Caenorhabditis elegans: one gene and its partners. The protein of the gene in region 2 purifies or fractionates together with the protein of the main gene of each other region. This does not show direct contact. Each region holds a gene or a part of one and is shown on either strand. Other genes may lie near its edges.

Region 1 (5,510 bases), on a different chromosome or scaffold from region 2:
GTAGACCATCCGGGGAATGTAGTAGAAAAACGAGACCATGATAAGACTTGAGGCAATTATTAACGGAATACTGTGCGTGTAGCTTTCATTCAAATCACCCGGTTCACGTGTGTCAAGAAGCTCACTCAGATCTGATAAGTCTAGTCCAGTTGACATATCGTCAAGGTCCGGAAGTGTACGATTTCGGTGGGATCCCCATGAACCCCAACGGGATGTGCTGTTGCTGATGCTAGAATCAGTCGAATTATCATTGTCTTTGAGAAAAGTGCCAGTGTGCTTCTGCAACATATCCGTAAGAATGTCGGTATGGTTTTGAAAATCTGTCGCGTTATGATCCTCGTTGAGTTGTTCTTTCTGCAAAATTGCACTCGGAATTGGCCCAATAATCATGAAGAAACTAACCACCAATTTCTTGATTTGAAGAGAATCCTCATTGGTTGCGTTTGGGTTCAGTCTTACTAGGTCTCCGGCTATGTTGGCCCACGCGTCTTTTGCTCTGAAATTACATTTTAAAGCGGTTTTTGGTTTTGAGTACGGTAGGGGTACTGTAGGACTACGGTAGGGGTACTGTAGGGGCGTTGTAAGGCTGTTGTTGGGCTATTGTAGGGGCATAGTGAAAATCGTTAGGGGTACTTTAGGGATACGGAGAGGGTACTATAGTAGTACAGTAGAGATATGGTTAGGGTACTGTAGAGGTACTGTAGAAGTACTGCCGTTGGGTGCTACTGGAATACTGCAGAGGAATAATGTAGGGGTACAAAAGGGTTAAGGTTGAGCTACAATAGGGATACGATTGGGGTACTGTAGGGGTACTGCAGTTGCAGTACTGTAGCGGTATTGTAGGGGTACTGTAGAGATGCCGTGAGGAGACTGTAGGGGTATTTTTTAAAATTAAGAGATCAAATCTGCTTTAAGAAAAAATCAAAATTTTAAGTATGACAGGTGGTTATTTTGTAATTGGTTCGGCAACCGATTACCGTAGACCTGTTTCAGAAAAAAAACTTGACTAACCCTTCAGTATCTTTATTTTTAGCTTTCTTCATCAAATTCGAAAAACTGTTTATCAATTTCAGCGAATCCTGAAGCTCCTTGGCCGAAATCTGTCTGGAAAATGAACGAATTTAAAAAAATTAGATTTTACTACTCTTGGTGAAACCCGCTTTTTATTCGGCCTAGATTTTCCTGTAATTTCTAGTGATTCTAGCTACACACGGGCGTAGCTAGAATCAGAATTTTCTAAAAGTCAGGGCAATACGGCTCAAATTATTTTTATAACTTTTTGAAATTTCTGTACGTAACAATGAACTATGTACATATTTTTTTAAAAAATCAGTGACTTACCCTCCTCCACCAGCTTGACCATGACCTCCTCCATGACCTCCTCCGAGTCCTCCAGCACCTCCGCCACCTCCAATTCCTTTCAAGCTTCCGAGGCTGCTGAGATCCATTTTTTCTTCAGGTTGACTCTCTGACGAAAAAAGTAGAAATGACGGAGTTGTCAACCTCACCAATCGGTCTTGTTGAAACCAGGTGCTTTTTTAATTTTTTTCTCAATTTTGCAGGTGAATTTTACGTTCACCTGCTCGTTTTCTCGCTAAAACAAATTAGAAATTGGCAGGGGATACTGTGGCGTGAACTGATCACATTTGAAATTTCACATGACATGAAATGTGTTTCTGTGGGCAGGAAAAAAATCGTTTGAAGTTTCAGGGAAAGTAGCGAATAAGGAAAAATGGAATTATCCAGTAAGAAAAATAAAAAAAAATGAATTATAGGGTGTATGTATTCCAAATATAATTACTCTATAATTGGTTTTTTATCGTTTTGTTCTCAAGTCAGAAGTACATTTAAACCGAATGATCGCGCATAAGGGAGCCTACATGCCTACATGCCTACATGCCTACATTCCTACATGTCTACGCAGTGAAGATCGAGTTTCTCGCAGCAGGAGTCAATTAGAACAAGTTGAAAGCAAAAATACTTTTTTAAAAAAGGCTTCTCAGACTGAAAGCTAAAAAATTCGTTTTGTTTGTTTTGTGCAATTTCAGAATTGCAATTCCAAAAAGAACCCGTGATTCAATGCCTGTTTTTCAGTAATTTCTTGGAATTTTTTATTCAAAACAAAAATTGTAATAAATCACCAAACTTTCCTGGAAGTTTTCGCAAAAATTTCGTGAAAGTTTTTATAAAAATAAAAATTTTAAATTTAAATTCAAGATAACTAAATCGTAAATAAATAAATAAATACATTTTAATCAAAAACGTGAAAACCTAACACGGGGGGGGGGGGGGCTATCGGAAAAAAAAATCAAATCGATTTGAAAATTTTCAAATCAGTTTTCAATATTCATTAGCCGAGAAACGTCTTTTCTAGTTCTCGGGAGGAAATACAAAAGGTTAGTTTATTTTTCCAATTTTTATCTGAATCATTTTGATTTTCAGAACAGTTCTCGTGTAAACAATTATCAAGAGTTCAACATGGCTCCTGCAAACAGAGAAAAGTGAGTTTGAAATATTCATGTAGGGCATGTAGGCATGTAGGCATGTAGGCATGTAGGCATGTAGGCATGTAGGCATAAGAAGCGATTAATAGGCGCCTCAGTCACGCCTCGACCGGGTGATTTCCAGCCAAATATCTATAATCTAGTCTTCATTTCCAGAATCGCCGATGAGGACCGAACCCTGCCGTACTTCCACGGAGCGCTTATGAATATAGACGCCGACCAGCTTCTAGTCAACGATGGAGATTTCATGGTGACCACTCGAATTGTGGCGGATCTCAACAAGCTTCAATTTCACTTGGCGGTCCGTTTGAAGAAGGGTATCCGTCGATATGAGATAAAAAGGAATCAAAACTCTGCAAAACTTGGGAATCGGAGTGCTTCAAACATCGGAAAGCTGATTGACTCACTGAAGGCCGAAACAATCGAGATAAAAGGGGAAAAGGTGATTTTGAAGCGGGCGATTGCGAAGGGAAAGTTCCAGCTGATGCATACCGATGTGAACTTCAAGAAGCAAATCGGGTCAGGAGCATACGGGACAGTTTATAGAGGACGTCTTGTTAAGACCAATGCAATTGTCGCTGTGAAAAAGCTGGATACGGAAGGAACAGACGAGGAAGGTCTGACGGATATGATGAAGGAAGCAAGAGTCATGCAGCTGTACGATCATCCGAATATTGTAAAGTTTTATGGGTACATTCTGGATGATGTTCCATATCTTTTGGTTCTGGAGTTTTGTAATGGAGGATCAGTGGAAGATTTGTTGAGGGACAAGCCAGAGATTAAAATCAATCGAAGAGTTCAATACACTTATATGGCGGCTTGTGGAATGGATTATCTGCATAAGAAAAAGTGGGTTTTTGGACTTTTAGGATTAATGCGTAGGCATGAAGGCATGTAGGCATGTAGGCATGTAGGCATGTAGGCATGTAGGCATGAAGGCGTGTAGGCATGTAGGCATGTAGGCATGTAGCCATGTAGCAATGCAGGCATGTAGCCATGTAGGCACGTAGGCAGGTATGCATGTAGGCATGTAGACATTTCATGTCATCAATTTAGGTTTCCAAGCTAAAACTCCTAAATCTTGGAATGTAGGCGTGTAGGCGTGCAGGCATGTAGGCATATAGGCAAGTAGACAAATCAATTTAAATTCTCAAATTTCAGCTGTATCCACCGGGACATCGCCTCCCGCAATTGCCTCATCCATAATGGTGTAGTGAAGATGGCGGATTTTGGAATGTGTCGCGCTACAGCCGTCTACAAAGTCGACCTTTCGAAACCTCTGAACGTTCGCTGGCTAGCTCCGGAGGTCTGGACCAACGGAGAGACTCGCTACAACACAGATGTCTACGCGTTTGGTGTCATGATTTGGGAGTTCTTCATCACCCCATACCAATCCCCCTACACCGAATGGAAAGGATATACTGTTAAGGTACTAAGCTTTCAAAAAAAAATCATTATCATTTTATCTTCTTTCAGCAAAAAGTTCGAGGTGGCTACCGGATGCAACCGCCGGAGGGCATGCCGAAAGACGTGGCATCTCTGCTTGCCGAGTGCTGGAACCACGATCCGGAGAAGAGACCGAACGCTGAGAAACTCAAGGAGAAGCTGGAGGATCTGAATCAGAAGTATGAAGCCGGAGAACCGAGTCTGCTGCAGGGTTGTTAGAAGAGCTCGGAGAAGTCTGCTGCCGTTTGAGAGCACTATGAGTCTTTGAATAAAATAGTTCGATCTAAACTTAATTTTTAGGCACAAGTAGGCATATACGCCTTGCGCCTAAATGACTACCTAACGTCTTTTATATACAGTTTCACATTAATTCCTGTATTTGATGCTGGGGCAGTTTGAGCTGAAAGCTTATAAACAAAAAGGCAAGCAGGTAGCCGCAATGAAGGCGTAGGCGACCATGAAGGCAGCATGCAGGCAGGATTTTGTGAGGCCATATAGGAGGGTCTACGTGGCTTTTTGTTTTACATTCGGCATTTTTAGTGCAGTATTGATATAAATTCCAGGCATGTTTGAGGAACGCCTGCCCTCGTACCTACTGTCCGCGTTAACTACGCAGGCTCAAGGTAGGCGCAGGCCACCTTGAATACAAAACCAAGTGCCTACAATTTGAAACCATCAACTGCATAGTTCGTAAGACAACATACATCGGAGTTATTGCCTAGGCCGTAGGTAGGCAAGTAGGCAGGCACGTTGGTAGACACATTCAACGCAAAGCAAATAAGCAATTTTATTATCAATAAACTATGGGGAATCTATGGGAAATCAGAAAATTGATCAATATTGTCATGAATAAAGTTCGCTGGCTCAATGTCTTCTTTTCCCCAGTGATTGGTGAGATCGGTGATGATACGGTAGTGGCACAGATGTCCAATTTCACAGAGACGTTTCACAGTCAATTGAAGATCCACTGGTTTCCGATCACTAGTACAATCATGACTTATAAGAGCTCTGGGCTTATATCCAGCCGAGAACATCTCATCGCCGTTCAAGGCTCCGTCTTGGGAGAAGCTTTGTCGGCCGGGTCCCAGAATGAGAATCTTCGGTTGGGAGAGCTGGTCTTGGCCGTTACTGAAAATTTATTTGTTGAATATGGATTTTCTGAAGGGCAATATCATGCAAGTTTCAAACAATTTTTCAAAAAACTCACAGACTATCCACCTCGACCCATTCGATTTTCAAGTTATAATCCTGAATATTATTCAGCTCGCAGAACACGGTGATATCGAATTGAAAATGATCCCAGGCACAAGAAAGGCCGATGGAGAAGAAGAGAAGGGTAATTCCACGAAGCATTTGTCTGAAAATCGAATTGAATTTTTAGGCTGAAAATTGAGCAAAAATTACCCAAAAAAGAAGAACGGAAGACTGCAACCACGTGACTGCAAACTTGAAGAATGATTGGAAAATCAATAAATCCGCACTTGCACGTTCATCCTGTCACGTGTCACGGAGTTTTTTTTCACGTAATCTTTGAAGAACTTTGAACGTTGAAATCAAGTT
Region 2 (5,975 bases):
CATACTGCTCAACAAAAATTTGACGAACAATGTCGATATCAGAAACAATTAGAGTTTTAATGGTTCCTTCAGTGTATCCATATATTGGACCATAAAGTTTTGTCCAATCTCTGATTTGTAAGTATTGAGGATATTCTGATTTGAGAGTTTTTGGAAAACTTCCAACTAATGGATAACCTAGAGGTCCAGGGATACCACGCCGTCTCCAATATGTCCATATCCAGAGGTAGTAACTTAAATAAATATATTTAGCTTTGAGAAATAAATAAAAAATACCTGATAAAACCAATGAACAAAGTTGGAATAGCAAGTAAAATAACACTCATTTAGTTGTATTTTCTTGTAAACGAAGTCTGTATATTTTAAACAAATATTTCCAAAAATAAAATTTGTTTTTATATTTACAAGAAATCGGACACAAAAACGGCAACTATCTGACACACTTTTTGTGTCTCCGTCTCGACGATTTTGTGACTCCTTGCGCAGAATCAGTGAGTAATTGGATTACAATGATGATATCAAGACCACTAACTCTAGTCTATCCTGTAGCCAGTTTCTGGAGTTTGGTCTGCAGATTTGAAGAAATCACCGATTAACTTAATTTAGTTTAGCAACTCTGGAAGTAACATTGCCAGGCATTTTTGTGGGCAAGGCTTTGTGTCATATTGCGCAAGAAAGTCAAATCTAGTGGAAACCAGAAAAAATCAAGTATTTTTGATAAAATAACAAGCACATCTTACAATAAGTCAGCAAATTTTCAAACGTACTTTCATATGTATATAAAAATGTGGTTGAAATGACTAGATATTAATGTATTCCTAACCCGAAAGTTTTACCTAACCCTGCTGTTGATATTTAACACAAATTGTGCTCTGATCTGTTTCAATTATTTGATTAACTTTGCTATTTTGTTATGATAGATGGCCAATAACCAACTTTTTGTTATTCATTCACGAGATCTAGTCAGACATTTATATAGACATGTCTCACTATCATATGGTACAGGAATGTATAGACAGGAAAAACTTAAACTCAAAAAGATAACATTTATTAGAATTGCCGATGAACGAATAATTAAAATACATAGTATCTATATGTTGATCACCCAACAGATCCCATCGATGGTACCGAACTTTTAGGCCTCGTGTGGAACATCATCATACCCGAAGCTCCACCACTGCCCATTGAAGCTGTACTTTGCTTAGCTAGACTTCCGGAAGACGTAATTGAATTAGGATCTTTGGATATAGAAGCCATTCGACCTCCACTGGGAGGTCTTGGAGCACCTCCTCCGCCCATTCCCATCATTGCGAGGCTTGCAGCACCAGCGCCACCCTGAGAGGTATCCACGTCACTGAGAATTCCGATCATTTTCAAGTTGGCAATGATGGATTCTTGTGATTCTCGTGTTGCAATGACCTTGACTTTGGACTCTTTATGCAGATTTCTGGCTTTTCGACAGAGAATGAAGTTTCCGAAATAGTCGATTCGGAGATTTTTGTTGTTAGCGATTAGTGATAATGGGTAAACAATTGGAAGAAAGCATCGAGCATTGATGTACATCATATCAAGCGTGGAATCTTCTGAAAGAAGTTTAGTTTTCAGACTATTCTGATCTTTATTTCATATTAAACTCACCTAGATTTATAAATCTCTTGACAATTACATGCAAGATGAAGTCGGCCAAACAAGCGATGTACAGCATGATGTAGGAATTTTTGAAAAACGTCATTTGTCCACTGAGATTTTGGATCTAAAATTGATGTCAAATGTAAAACTAGAATATAAATCCTCAAAAAACTCACTTTCTGGTCATTTCTCATTCCACCGAGTAGGCAGGCACGAGTGTGAGAACCTTTTGCCGATTTGAACATGAGAACCGAGATCTGAAATTCAAAATAATAATTATAATATGTTTATTTAAGTTTTGTTGAAATTGCGTCACATGCGTGAGACTTTTTCTAAGGGAACTAAACATAGGATTTTTATTTTCTGTTGAATATATAAACTAGCCAAAACAGGATACTTACTATAATACATGGCAAAAACAATATTCCGTGATAGAAGTCGTAGTATACATTCGCGATGAGTGAACTTTTGATTGAAATTTCATCATTTGAAGATTGAAGAACTTCAAGTCCAGCAGCTTCTTTGAGTTGATCATCACTATTCAAATAGATTCCTCGAATAATCATCTCCATAATTACGGAGACCACTACTTCGATGACCTATAAAAGGTATTTAGTATTTGTATTTAATATTTATTGTAATAAAAATATTGATACCCACCCGGAAAACTGCCACATATCGAAACTTGGGACTTTCTCGAATCGTTGGACTCCGATTGTACGTTATCCGTTCAACAGTTGTCCAAAACACAGTGAGTGCTGGAATAGCACGGCTGACTGATAGAGTTGTCGAGAAGAAGGCTTCGGATTTTGTCGTGCGATTCACGTTGGCACCCCACATTGCAGCTGGAAAGGTTTATTTTAGAAAAATAATCAGAAATATTAGTTTCAAGGTTTAAAGATCAAAATATATCCGTATTATCATCAAAATTGTGAAATGCACATAGCAAACAAGTGTGCATACATATAATTGTGTACCTACGACAAGTGCGTGACCAACTCGGCGTTGTGAGCCAGCTTCTTGTCTTACTAGATAGGTTTTGCCAAAAAATATTAACACGGCTTTATCTTTGGCAAAATTTTGACAAAAGTTGAGGTTAGTAAAGGACACGTCTCAAGTATAATCTAACTTTTGCCAAACCTCGGACTACATTGGCAAGAGTTGGATCTAACTTGGACTAATTGCATTACACTTCCTGAACTTGCCAAAGTTTTGATACAAGTGAAGATTTTTTGGGCTAAAGTTTGACAAAAAGATATCGTTTACAGTTATACTCGAGCAAGAAATCCCATTTCTGTAGGCAAGTGGGTCTTCATTTTGTGCCTATATAAACTCACCAGCGGCCACAACATTTGAACAAGCCAGCACAATATGAGCAACGGACAAAAACCGTAAATTATTTCCGGTAAACTTTGGATAGACCGTAGATCGATGTGTGGCTCTGAGGTAGCACAGATTGAGGTAAACTCCGACAACCGAAAGGATCAGACACGAGGTAAAAAACACAATTTCAAGAACCATGGCGCCTGGAATGCTGATTAAATGAAAGAAAAATATGCAGAAGTGAGAAGAAAAGAAAGGAAAAAATAATTGAATTTGGAGGGGGAGGATATGTGTGTCTTTGTAACATAGAGAAACCTAAATTAAAACCTCTCAAAAATCACCTGCCTAGTTTTATATAATAGTTTTCTATTCACAGACTACTTTTTTTAGTTATATAAACTGTGTATGATAGGTATATTGAGAGTAGAAGAAGGAATTTGATGTGGGCCCAAAAATGAAGAAAAACATGAAAACAATCAAGTCCCACAGGAAATCGAGTTGGCGATACGTAGATTGTTATTTATTAGCGTTATGTTCTCTGAATATAATGAGATGTATAACAAGAAGGTATATACATAGATAAATCGATGCACATTGATGAGCACTATTTTAGGGAACTTTTAAATGAGAATATGCTGTGTCGAAGTTTTTTCTCGGAAATTTATACAGAAATATAAAGAAATAATAGTTACTTTTTATCAAAAATTTCAAAAATTTGGCCAAAATCTACTATTAAAATCGCTATGTGCCTATAGCACCTTAGAGTCAGCTTTTGAGCCGCTTTTTTAAATCTATTAATAAGAAGTGAGATATCTTTATAAAGCACAAATAAATAGTTTTATATATTTCTGTATAAATTTCCAGAATAAAACTTCGACACAACGATGAGACTTATGAGATTTTGTAAATATTGCCATTTCGTCTGGCTCAAAGGTTCAAAAAGGTGGGCTCGAGTCTAGAATTCAAGGATTATACAAAAATGGAGAAACTTTCTCTAGTTGATATAAGAACAACTCTTTGATTCACTCGTCATTTCCCCGTCTATCGACAGTGAAGGCTAATCGAAAGTGATTGTAGGCAGGTGTAAAAGTGCTGATTTACTTTGGTTGCCATGCTCACATGGAGACACGGAACCTTGGGTCAGATTGTTCAACTCAAGAATAAAACAATGCAAGAATTGAAACATCTGATGGTCAAAAAGTGATAATGGGTGGTTTGATATATACATGCATGGGAGGGTGACTGCTGCATAGACAAAACTATGTGTGAGATTTGAGCGTGTTGTCAAGCCCGTGCTTCTCTGCGTTTCTTTCAAGTTGCTCTCAAGGGCACAGAGCGGTAATTGGTTAGATGCGAAGTAAGAATAGACAGACGAGCCTGCCTAATGACGACGTAAAAATGAAGAGCTGTGAAAAAATGTGAGTAATGGATGAGGTTTTCTGACAGAACTAGCAAGCCGAATCAATTTGGCAGATGCTATAAGGAAAGGATATACCATGTGATAAAAGTTACAGTTGTCAAAGCAGATGACCCTAATCTAAATCTATCAGCAGGAAGGTAGGCAGACCTTCCCCTTTCCTAAGTCTCATTTGTCTTTCTTACGCCATAAGCTTTTGCATACGTCTATTCATGTGATTTTCTGGCTCACTATCAGTGTAGACTTATATTTAAAAAGAATGTTCTTGTTCAATTTGGTAGTAGGTAGGTGGTATAGGTGGATGCATAGGTATGCATTTTGGTGATTTGTCAAAGATCTGTGCGCCTTTAGGGAAAACGATATGTCGAGTGTGAGTAATTCAATGACATAATTAAACGTTTCATTATTATGTTTTATCAAACATCAAAAATCTTATTAAGAACTCCTGTCAACCGGAAGTCTAAGCTCGCCGAGCAGGTGGTACACGTGAAGAAAAATGTCTGAAAATCGTGTTTCTGAAATAGCATTAAAGTCTATAATTTGTTCTCGGTTTTGGATTTTACACATTTTCAGGTTCTCGATTAATTAGAGTCACAGTTTTTTCAGATTCCTACAGCTGCAGGAATGTGTTTCACCAGATGTGTCGAGAGACTGTGACTGGGTGAGATACGCAGAGTTATTCCGAGAGGAGTGCACATACGACACTCTGTAATAACACTAGCACTCCTTGTTTATCGTAAATGCTCATTGATTTATTTAATGCGAATTTTTCGAAAATAGTGCTTTCTTTTTCTATTTGTCCGTTTTATATTAAATATTTATCAATTATAATATTAATCATGTCAAAGAAAAGGCACGTTTCATGAGTCAGTTTTAAAATTTGATAATATCATAATTTCCATTTTTCAGAGTTCCGCAGACATGTCGAAAAAAAATGATTGTTGTTGATGGAATTGAAATCATGATTCCCAATGATAAATTAGACGAAGTGGTCAGCATCTTCAAGAGCGGCGTACATATAGACGACTTAGAAGGTTGGCAGACCGAGGTAATTTTTTCTTAATTAATTCCCTCACAAAAGTTTCAATTATAGGCTGCTCACGAGGAAGAAAACTTCGAAAAATTCATCACGGAGGCGAGGGAGTTTTCAAACATGAGCCCACCAGACATTGATCAATTTGAAATAAAAGCGCGGGGAGCTGCTTCGATCTGCGTGGTGGAGTTCTTTTTGAAGCACTTTGGAATTCTTATCAAATCGAACAAAGCAAAGAGCAGTTTGATGGAGGTCATTTGTTTCGGACTGAGCAGCAAGCAGGCGGTTCAGGTTATAGATATCTGGATGAAAGCAGAAAAGTAAGTCTACTTTAGCATGAATATTATTTATCTTTTGATTTAGGTCGGATCCGAATTACTATGAGAATTACTATGACTCATGTATGACGAAGGAAGGCAGAGAAGCGACACTGGATTCAATCAACGAGATGGCCGCCATCTTTGACAAAGCAGATTTAGTTCTCATTGAAGCCGAGCTGAAGATCATGACATCGGTGACACTCCGCGATGTCAAGAAAGACACGCGAAAGATCGGAAACTATTCATATGACTA
Region 3 (5,848 bases), 1.7 Mb from region 2:
TCAAACCTTGAATAGATAATCGTGAATGTGTGCGTAGAAAACGAGAATTATCCTTGCCACGAATGCCACTAGTAAAATCTGGAAGAACATCATTAATTCGATGAATTCGTTGAAAATAGACAAATTACCTTATTTCGATTGAACGTTTCGTTCTTCACAAAACTCCGGACACATTGCATTTGTGGAGAAAACTGGAATATATTCGAATATATAAATGCTAAAAACCAACAAAGAATTTGTTAAAAATTGAAAAATGCAAGTGTGCTCTAGCGCAAATTTTCAACGGAGGGAACTTGAAAATTAGTTATTTTCGGGCAAACTTGTCGCAATTTTAATTGCTTCTTTCTTTCTTTAGATATCTCGCTTTTATTCATTTTTTACTAATCTTATATGTTTTGAAAGAATTATTTGTTAATCTTCATTATGTTTTCCCGGAAAAAATTAGCAAGAATCGAGTAAAACGGGTCTAAAAACGCGCTGCATATTACATGTAATCCTATTCTAGACAAACAAGTCATGCGTTTTCTTGTTATTCCCAATTTTGCAACAAGACGCAGAGACAAATTTCAAAATCATCAAAAGTCCAATAAAAGAATGCTTCCTTGCCCCGGAGACGCAGAGAATTTTCTGGCCGCTTTCGTTATTTCGTCTCTGTCTCTTTGTCCCGCGTGCTCTTTCTCGTGAATATAATCTGCGACTCTAGTAATTTTAGCACTATCTCTCATGTTCGTTTCGATTTTTGCGCCACATTCGACTTCATTTTTCGTTTTCCAAAACTTCTTTCAAAACAACTTTTTCGCATTAATTTGTTGTCTTCCTCACTCTTTTGAATTCAAAAACGAAAATTTTAAACCACCGATTGCAATTGTTACGAGATGCAAAAACCCGACGAATCGAATGAAAAACGTAAGAACAATTCAAATTATATTTTAAAATAATTATTATTAGTTTCAGATGATATTCCTTGCACATCAGCAAGCCTTCTCGACCATTTGATTCAGAAGGAAGCTTCTGCAGCAGAGGACACTGATCCCTTGGATCATATTGGCAATATAGGAGAAGCTATCATTGGACAATTTTCGTCTGGAGCAGATGTTGGAACCGAAATTCTACAAAATGCTCTCAAAATGTTCGATCAAGCAATGGCCTACACGAATCCACAGGCTCCACCAAAACGAAAATATAAACGAAAAGAAGCTCCGATAGAGGATGCTCAACCTACCACGACTTCATCAGCTACGCTAGCTTCCTTGCTCACTCTCAATCCGGTTCCAATTGAATCTAGTGCGAAAAGATTCCATCAAAATGATCTACGAGCTGGTTTTTCGCCACGTACCAAGTTCGACGTGGATTGTTCGGATTTCTTTCTTCTACAAGGATCTGATGCTGACACTCAATTCAATAATCTCCACAAGAAGCTCGAGAAGGAGAGAACGCAGATGTTTGATGATCAAGTTTCGAAAGATGTTGAACGACTTCTAAATACCGCAAACAGAGTTCACGGTCCCCGAGAATGGACTGCCGAGGAGAAAGCCGAATTCACTTCATACTGTAGAAGCTGGCGCAGTGGAGCATTAGGGGCCGATGACAAGCTGAATCTTCAGAAATTTTATTCAAAAGCGTACGGAAAAGTTTTCCAAGGACTGAGCGAAAATAAAGCTTCATCGGAGGAATCAGCTATCGATTTTTCTAATTTCATGGGTGTCGGTAGTGAAGATCCTGCTAATCAAACAGAAGACGTACCAGGTGGAAGCTGCAAGGCTTCTCCCGACAATTTCTCATTCTCTACTTTGAATCCAAGAATGAAATACGAGAAAGAGAAAGAATTTCGGTCCGCTATCAATAATATATTCACGGAAGTTTTCAAAGAATGTAAGTGAATATTGTAAAAGTTTTTATTCAAACAAAATTCTTTATTTTCAGTTCACTCAAAGAAGCAATTCATTCCCAAACCAACTCGCCTGGACGTTCCGCCGTGCGAAATCGAGCGGGAGCATTTATCAATGCTGATGTCAAAGTTCAGTATAGCTATGGACGATCCAGAAAAGGAATGGAATGTTGATGAGCTTCAGGAACTGCGTCGATTCTATACATTATTTCGAGAAAAAAATCATTTGCCATTCGTTCAAACTAAGGAATTCGGAAAATTTCTGCGTAAAGCATTTGGAAGACTAGAGCATTATGAGCTTCAACGAGGTTTTGCAATTAATTTATGGAACTTATATGATTGTTAGTTATTTCAGAAAATGACACTTCTCTTCAAGAAAAACGAAAATTTTGGCAAGAATACAGGAAAACGCATGTACCACCGAAAAGAGGTGATTTCTAAAATAAATTTTCACATTTTATCCCAATTTCGTACATTTCAGAGCGAAAAGCGTGCGCGGCTAGAACCACACCAGTAAGACCTTATATAAAATCGAATATTGATACAAAAGGAGAAACTGAAGAAGAGAGAAGATTGCGGAGAGCTGCGTATCTTCGAAAGTGGAGGCTAGGTAATATAACATTTTTGTAATAATACATTTAACAAATTATCGATTTTTCAGCTCAAAAAGAGAAGCATTCAGCAGACGTCATGTCACAGTTCAAGCACCAGGAAGATGTCGCCTTGTGATTTCTTTGTTTAATATTAATCAACTTTTTGTTCGCATCTCAGGAAATGTTCTTTGAAAAATAATTTGTTAGATAAAATTTATTTTAATCCGAATAAATATTTTATAATCTTTTTACTTATAGTTAATACAAAATTATAAACTCTAAGAGCTTTCAAAAAGCAAAAACCGCAAAATTAAATGCAAAAAGAAATTACAAATAAATCGTTTTTGAAAATCCGCGCAAGGACGAAGTATGCGCTAACATATGATTGTTGGCGCGTTTCTCATTCCTTGCGCGTTTCCCGTCTCGGCCGATTAATTTTTCAGTGTATTTTTTTCTGTTTTTGTTTATTTTATCCGCATTTGAATACATATTTTTGGCTTATCTTCTTTGGAATTTTTTGAAAGTATCTATGAACAATTTTTTATTGTTATTTATCAATCGATTTTCAGGTAAAATGGGCCACGGAGAAGAACCATTGACCGCCACGTATAAAACGCAGAGACCTCCATGGATCGGTCTTTGGAGTGATCGTGAATAGTAAGCTTTATTCTTTTTCTACTTTTGAAATTAAATCTAATTCAATAAAATATTTTAAAATGGTAAAATTTGTAATTCAGCAAGGGACGTGCCGACTGGTGGAAGGAGCCAGGACTTGAAGACTCTGTCACGCGTTCTGGAAAACTTCGTCTTTATCGTGCTCGTTTCCGTGAGGAAGATCCAGATTGGTATGATCCAAAGGTACAGTTAATTTATTTTGAGTGATATTCGCTAATTTTTTGCGTTTTCAGGTAAAAGACGGAGAATCCCTGGCCGGACCTTTCGGACTCGATTCCAAGAAGACCAAAAATCTCACCAAAAAAGGAGATCAGCCAGGAGAGCTGTCCGAATTCCAGAACAAAGTTTACGAAGGATCCCACCAGTTTAAGGCTATCGCTGAAAAGTTTGGAATCAGCAAAGAGCATCCAGGACTATCCGTTAGTCCAACCTTGAGCGATAATATGCTAAGTGAGGAATAATTAAAATTTTATTATAAGTATCCTGCTACAAAACTTTTTTATTTCCAGCTCCAAAGGACGAGTTAGGCAGAAACGCCGTGTTGCCAAACTCTTGGTATCCTGCCGGACCCCGTTTCTTCGACAGTCCACTCAATGAGGGATCTTTCTGGAAAGGACTTGCCGCCGCCAAGTATGCTGGAATTTTGTGTAAGACTAGATTAAGATTTAAAAAATGTTCACGATAATCATAAAACATAATTTCAGTGGCTCCATACACTATGCTGGAAATCCGTGCACTCAATACAGTCTCGGTATCCGAATTCTCGCCAAGAACCTATATGAAGAGATACCTCCAACTCGCTCCATTCCCATTGGCCGTTGCATTCGCCTGGGGCTTCAGTCTTTCAGCAGCCTCATCGATCCGTCATAAGGATGATGTCCATAATCATTGGTTCGCTAGTGTTGCTGTTGGATCAACCGTGGCTACCATGAGTATGTTTTGTTAAAAATTGTAAGCCAATTTGGCGAAATGATCAAAAAACGTGGTTTTCAGAGCGTAGAAAAAAATTTTAATTCTATTTAAATGATTTCTTATGTGTTTTCATCAGATTTTCTGTTAAATTCGAAGAAAATCACATGGAAAAAATTTAAAACAGAAACTAATATATTTTCGTAATTTTCCAAAATAGAAAAAAATCAATTCAAAAAATTATCTTTCATGGTAGCAGCCACATTATCATTGTATCTCATAATCAATTAGTTCTGATTCTGTCCGAAAAAATATTTTGTTCGAAATATTTTAATAAAAATTAGTCTGAAAATAATAAAAATTCGGCTTAAAATATGAATATTTATTTTTAAAATTTAACAAAATTCTCTGTAAATCTGGCAAAACTTGTACATTTTTATTTTTTAACAAATAAAAAATCTAGACACAAAATCAAAATCTGATTGTCCTGGTTAATTCCTGAAAAATTTAATTTTTCGTTTCAAAACCACTATTTTTCCAGAGAGCAACGTTGCCCTTGGAACCACTGCCGCCATCTTCACCGCCATCCTCGGAGCATTCTGGCAGTATCAACGACACTCGGAGACTGGACTCCAAGGAATGACTGCTCATCCACAATCTGCCGGAATCTGGGGAGGACCACTTCTTTGGCAGAAGATGCAACTTGGAAATGCCGATGTTCCGACCACACGATACTGATTGGATTTTTGAATTTTTTCTAGCTTCGATTCTACAATCATGTATAAGATTTTTAGTTTTCGAGAAAGAAGCATATAGCACTCAAACTTTAATTTTTTTTTTCTTCTTTTCTGCTCTTTTCCGAATAAAATCAGCGGTCATAGCATGAAAATAGTGTCTGTGAGTCGAGACACCGGGGGAACAACAACACAACGAATCGATTGTTTCACACGCTGGCTCCCCACCCCGCTCCGTTGTCCTGGTAACAACAAGAAGCGGGCGGTTCTTAAGAAGGGATACGCGTAGCAGCACACATACATACAAACTCGCATAACTTATTCCCTCTTGCTGGTCAAAAATGTCGTTTCTTGTGCTCTTTGGAGCACTTCTTCTCATTCAGACTTCTGAGCAGATGGTTCAATGCAGGTACACGAAGAATTTGACAAATCGAGCAGATGGTGAGTTTGGAAATTCCGAAATACTTTTTTTTTAATGGTTTTGGAAGGAATAACGTTGCCCACGTAACTCTCGGAAGTGAAAATTCAAATTAAAAAAATTTGCGAATTCTTTTCTTTTTTTGCATTTTGAAAACTGCGAAATTTAGCGATTATTATCGCAAAAATACGATACCCGGTCTCATCACGACAAATTTGTGTTAAATGCAGAAAAGGTGTGCGCCTTCAAAGAGTACTGTAGTACTGTAGTTTCAAACTTTCGTTTCTGCGCAATATTAATCGACTTTTGATAGAATTTCGATACTTAAAAATGCACTTTTTTATTAAATAAATTTCAAAATCTAGAGAAAATCTATGAAAAATCCGGCAGTAGCAAGAGTTTGAAGTTACAGTACTCTTTAAAGGCGCGCACCTTTTCTCAATTAACACAAATTTGCCGTGTCAAGACCGGGTACCGTATAGTTTTCTTACAATTAATTGAAAAACTGAAATAAAATACATGACTTTTTTTTTAACCCATGAATAACACAAGAAAACAATGAAGAACTTCGGTATTCTTTAAAGGTGCACATTTCTTAGAATTTTTGAAAATCGTTCGTTTCGAGACCCTC

What was found.
Region 1: the proteins of ZK1320.5 (region 2) and C18H7.4 fractionate together in Caenorhabditis elegans (co-fractionation; one large-scale study listed by BioGRID). This does not show direct contact.
Region 3: the proteins of ZK1320.5 (region 2) and nduf-11 fractionate together in Caenorhabditis elegans (co-fractionation; one large-scale study listed by BioGRID). This does not show direct contact.

What each region holds. Positions count from the first base shown.
Region 1 is NC_003282.8:590,999-596,508, forward strand, and holds C18H7.4 (Tyrosine-protein kinase), read left to right. Parts: upstream 1-2,330; 5' UTR 2,331-2,396; intron 2,397-2,442; 5' UTR 2,443-2,478; coding exon 2,479-2,501; intron 2,502-2,660; coding exon 2,661-3,353; intron 3,354-3,482; exon of another isoform or gene 3,483-3,632; intron 3,633-3,665; coding exon 3,666-3,933; intron 3,934-3,980; coding exon 3,981-4,169; 3' UTR 4,170-4,238; downstream 4,239-5,510. Other genes in the region: C18H7.6 (Aa_trans domain-containing protein), read right to left, coding at 1-354, 403-496, 1,012-1,104, 1,342-1,448; C18H7.7 (TransThyretin-Related family domain), read right to left, coding at 4,763-5,078, 5,158-5,303.
Region 2 is NC_003280.10:9,662,515-9,668,489, forward strand, and holds ZK1320.5 (uncharacterized protein), read right to left. Parts: upstream 3,164-5,975; 5' UTR 3,151-3,163; coding exon 2,967-3,150; intron 2,475-2,966; coding exon 2,290-2,474; intron 2,229-2,289; coding exon 2,031-2,228; intron 1,887-2,030; coding exon 1,806-1,886; intron 1,754-1,805; coding exon 1,639-1,753; intron 1,584-1,638; coding exon 1,102-1,583; 3' UTR 1,032-1,101; downstream 1-1,031. Other genes in the region: cyp-13A10 (Putative cytochrome P450 CYP13A10), read right to left, coding at 1-233, 277-326; ZK1320.11 (BTB domain-containing protein), read left to right, coding at 5,110-5,222, 5,279-5,417, 5,463-5,722, 5,766-5,975.
Region 3 is NC_003280.10:11,342,823-11,348,670, reverse strand, and holds nduf-11 (Complex I-B14.7), read left to right. Parts: upstream 1-3,050; 5' UTR 3,051-3,055; coding exon 3,056-3,138; intron 3,139-3,218; coding exon 3,219-3,339; intron 3,340-3,389; coding exon 3,390-3,606; intron 3,607-3,665; coding exon 3,666-3,803; intron 3,804-3,860; coding exon 3,861-4,088; intron 4,089-4,606; coding exon 4,607-4,803; 3' UTR 4,804-4,950; downstream 4,951-5,848. Other genes in the region: pigm-1 (GPI alpha-1,4-mannosyltransferase I, catalytic subunit), read right to left, coding at 7-78, 129-179; B0491.6 (DNA helicase), read left to right, coding at 876-906, 949-1,872, 1,924-2,196, 2,244-2,318, 2,370-2,498, 2,550-2,617; lgc-20 (Neurotransmitter-gated ion-channel ligand-binding domain-containing protein), read left to right, coding at 5,141-5,240.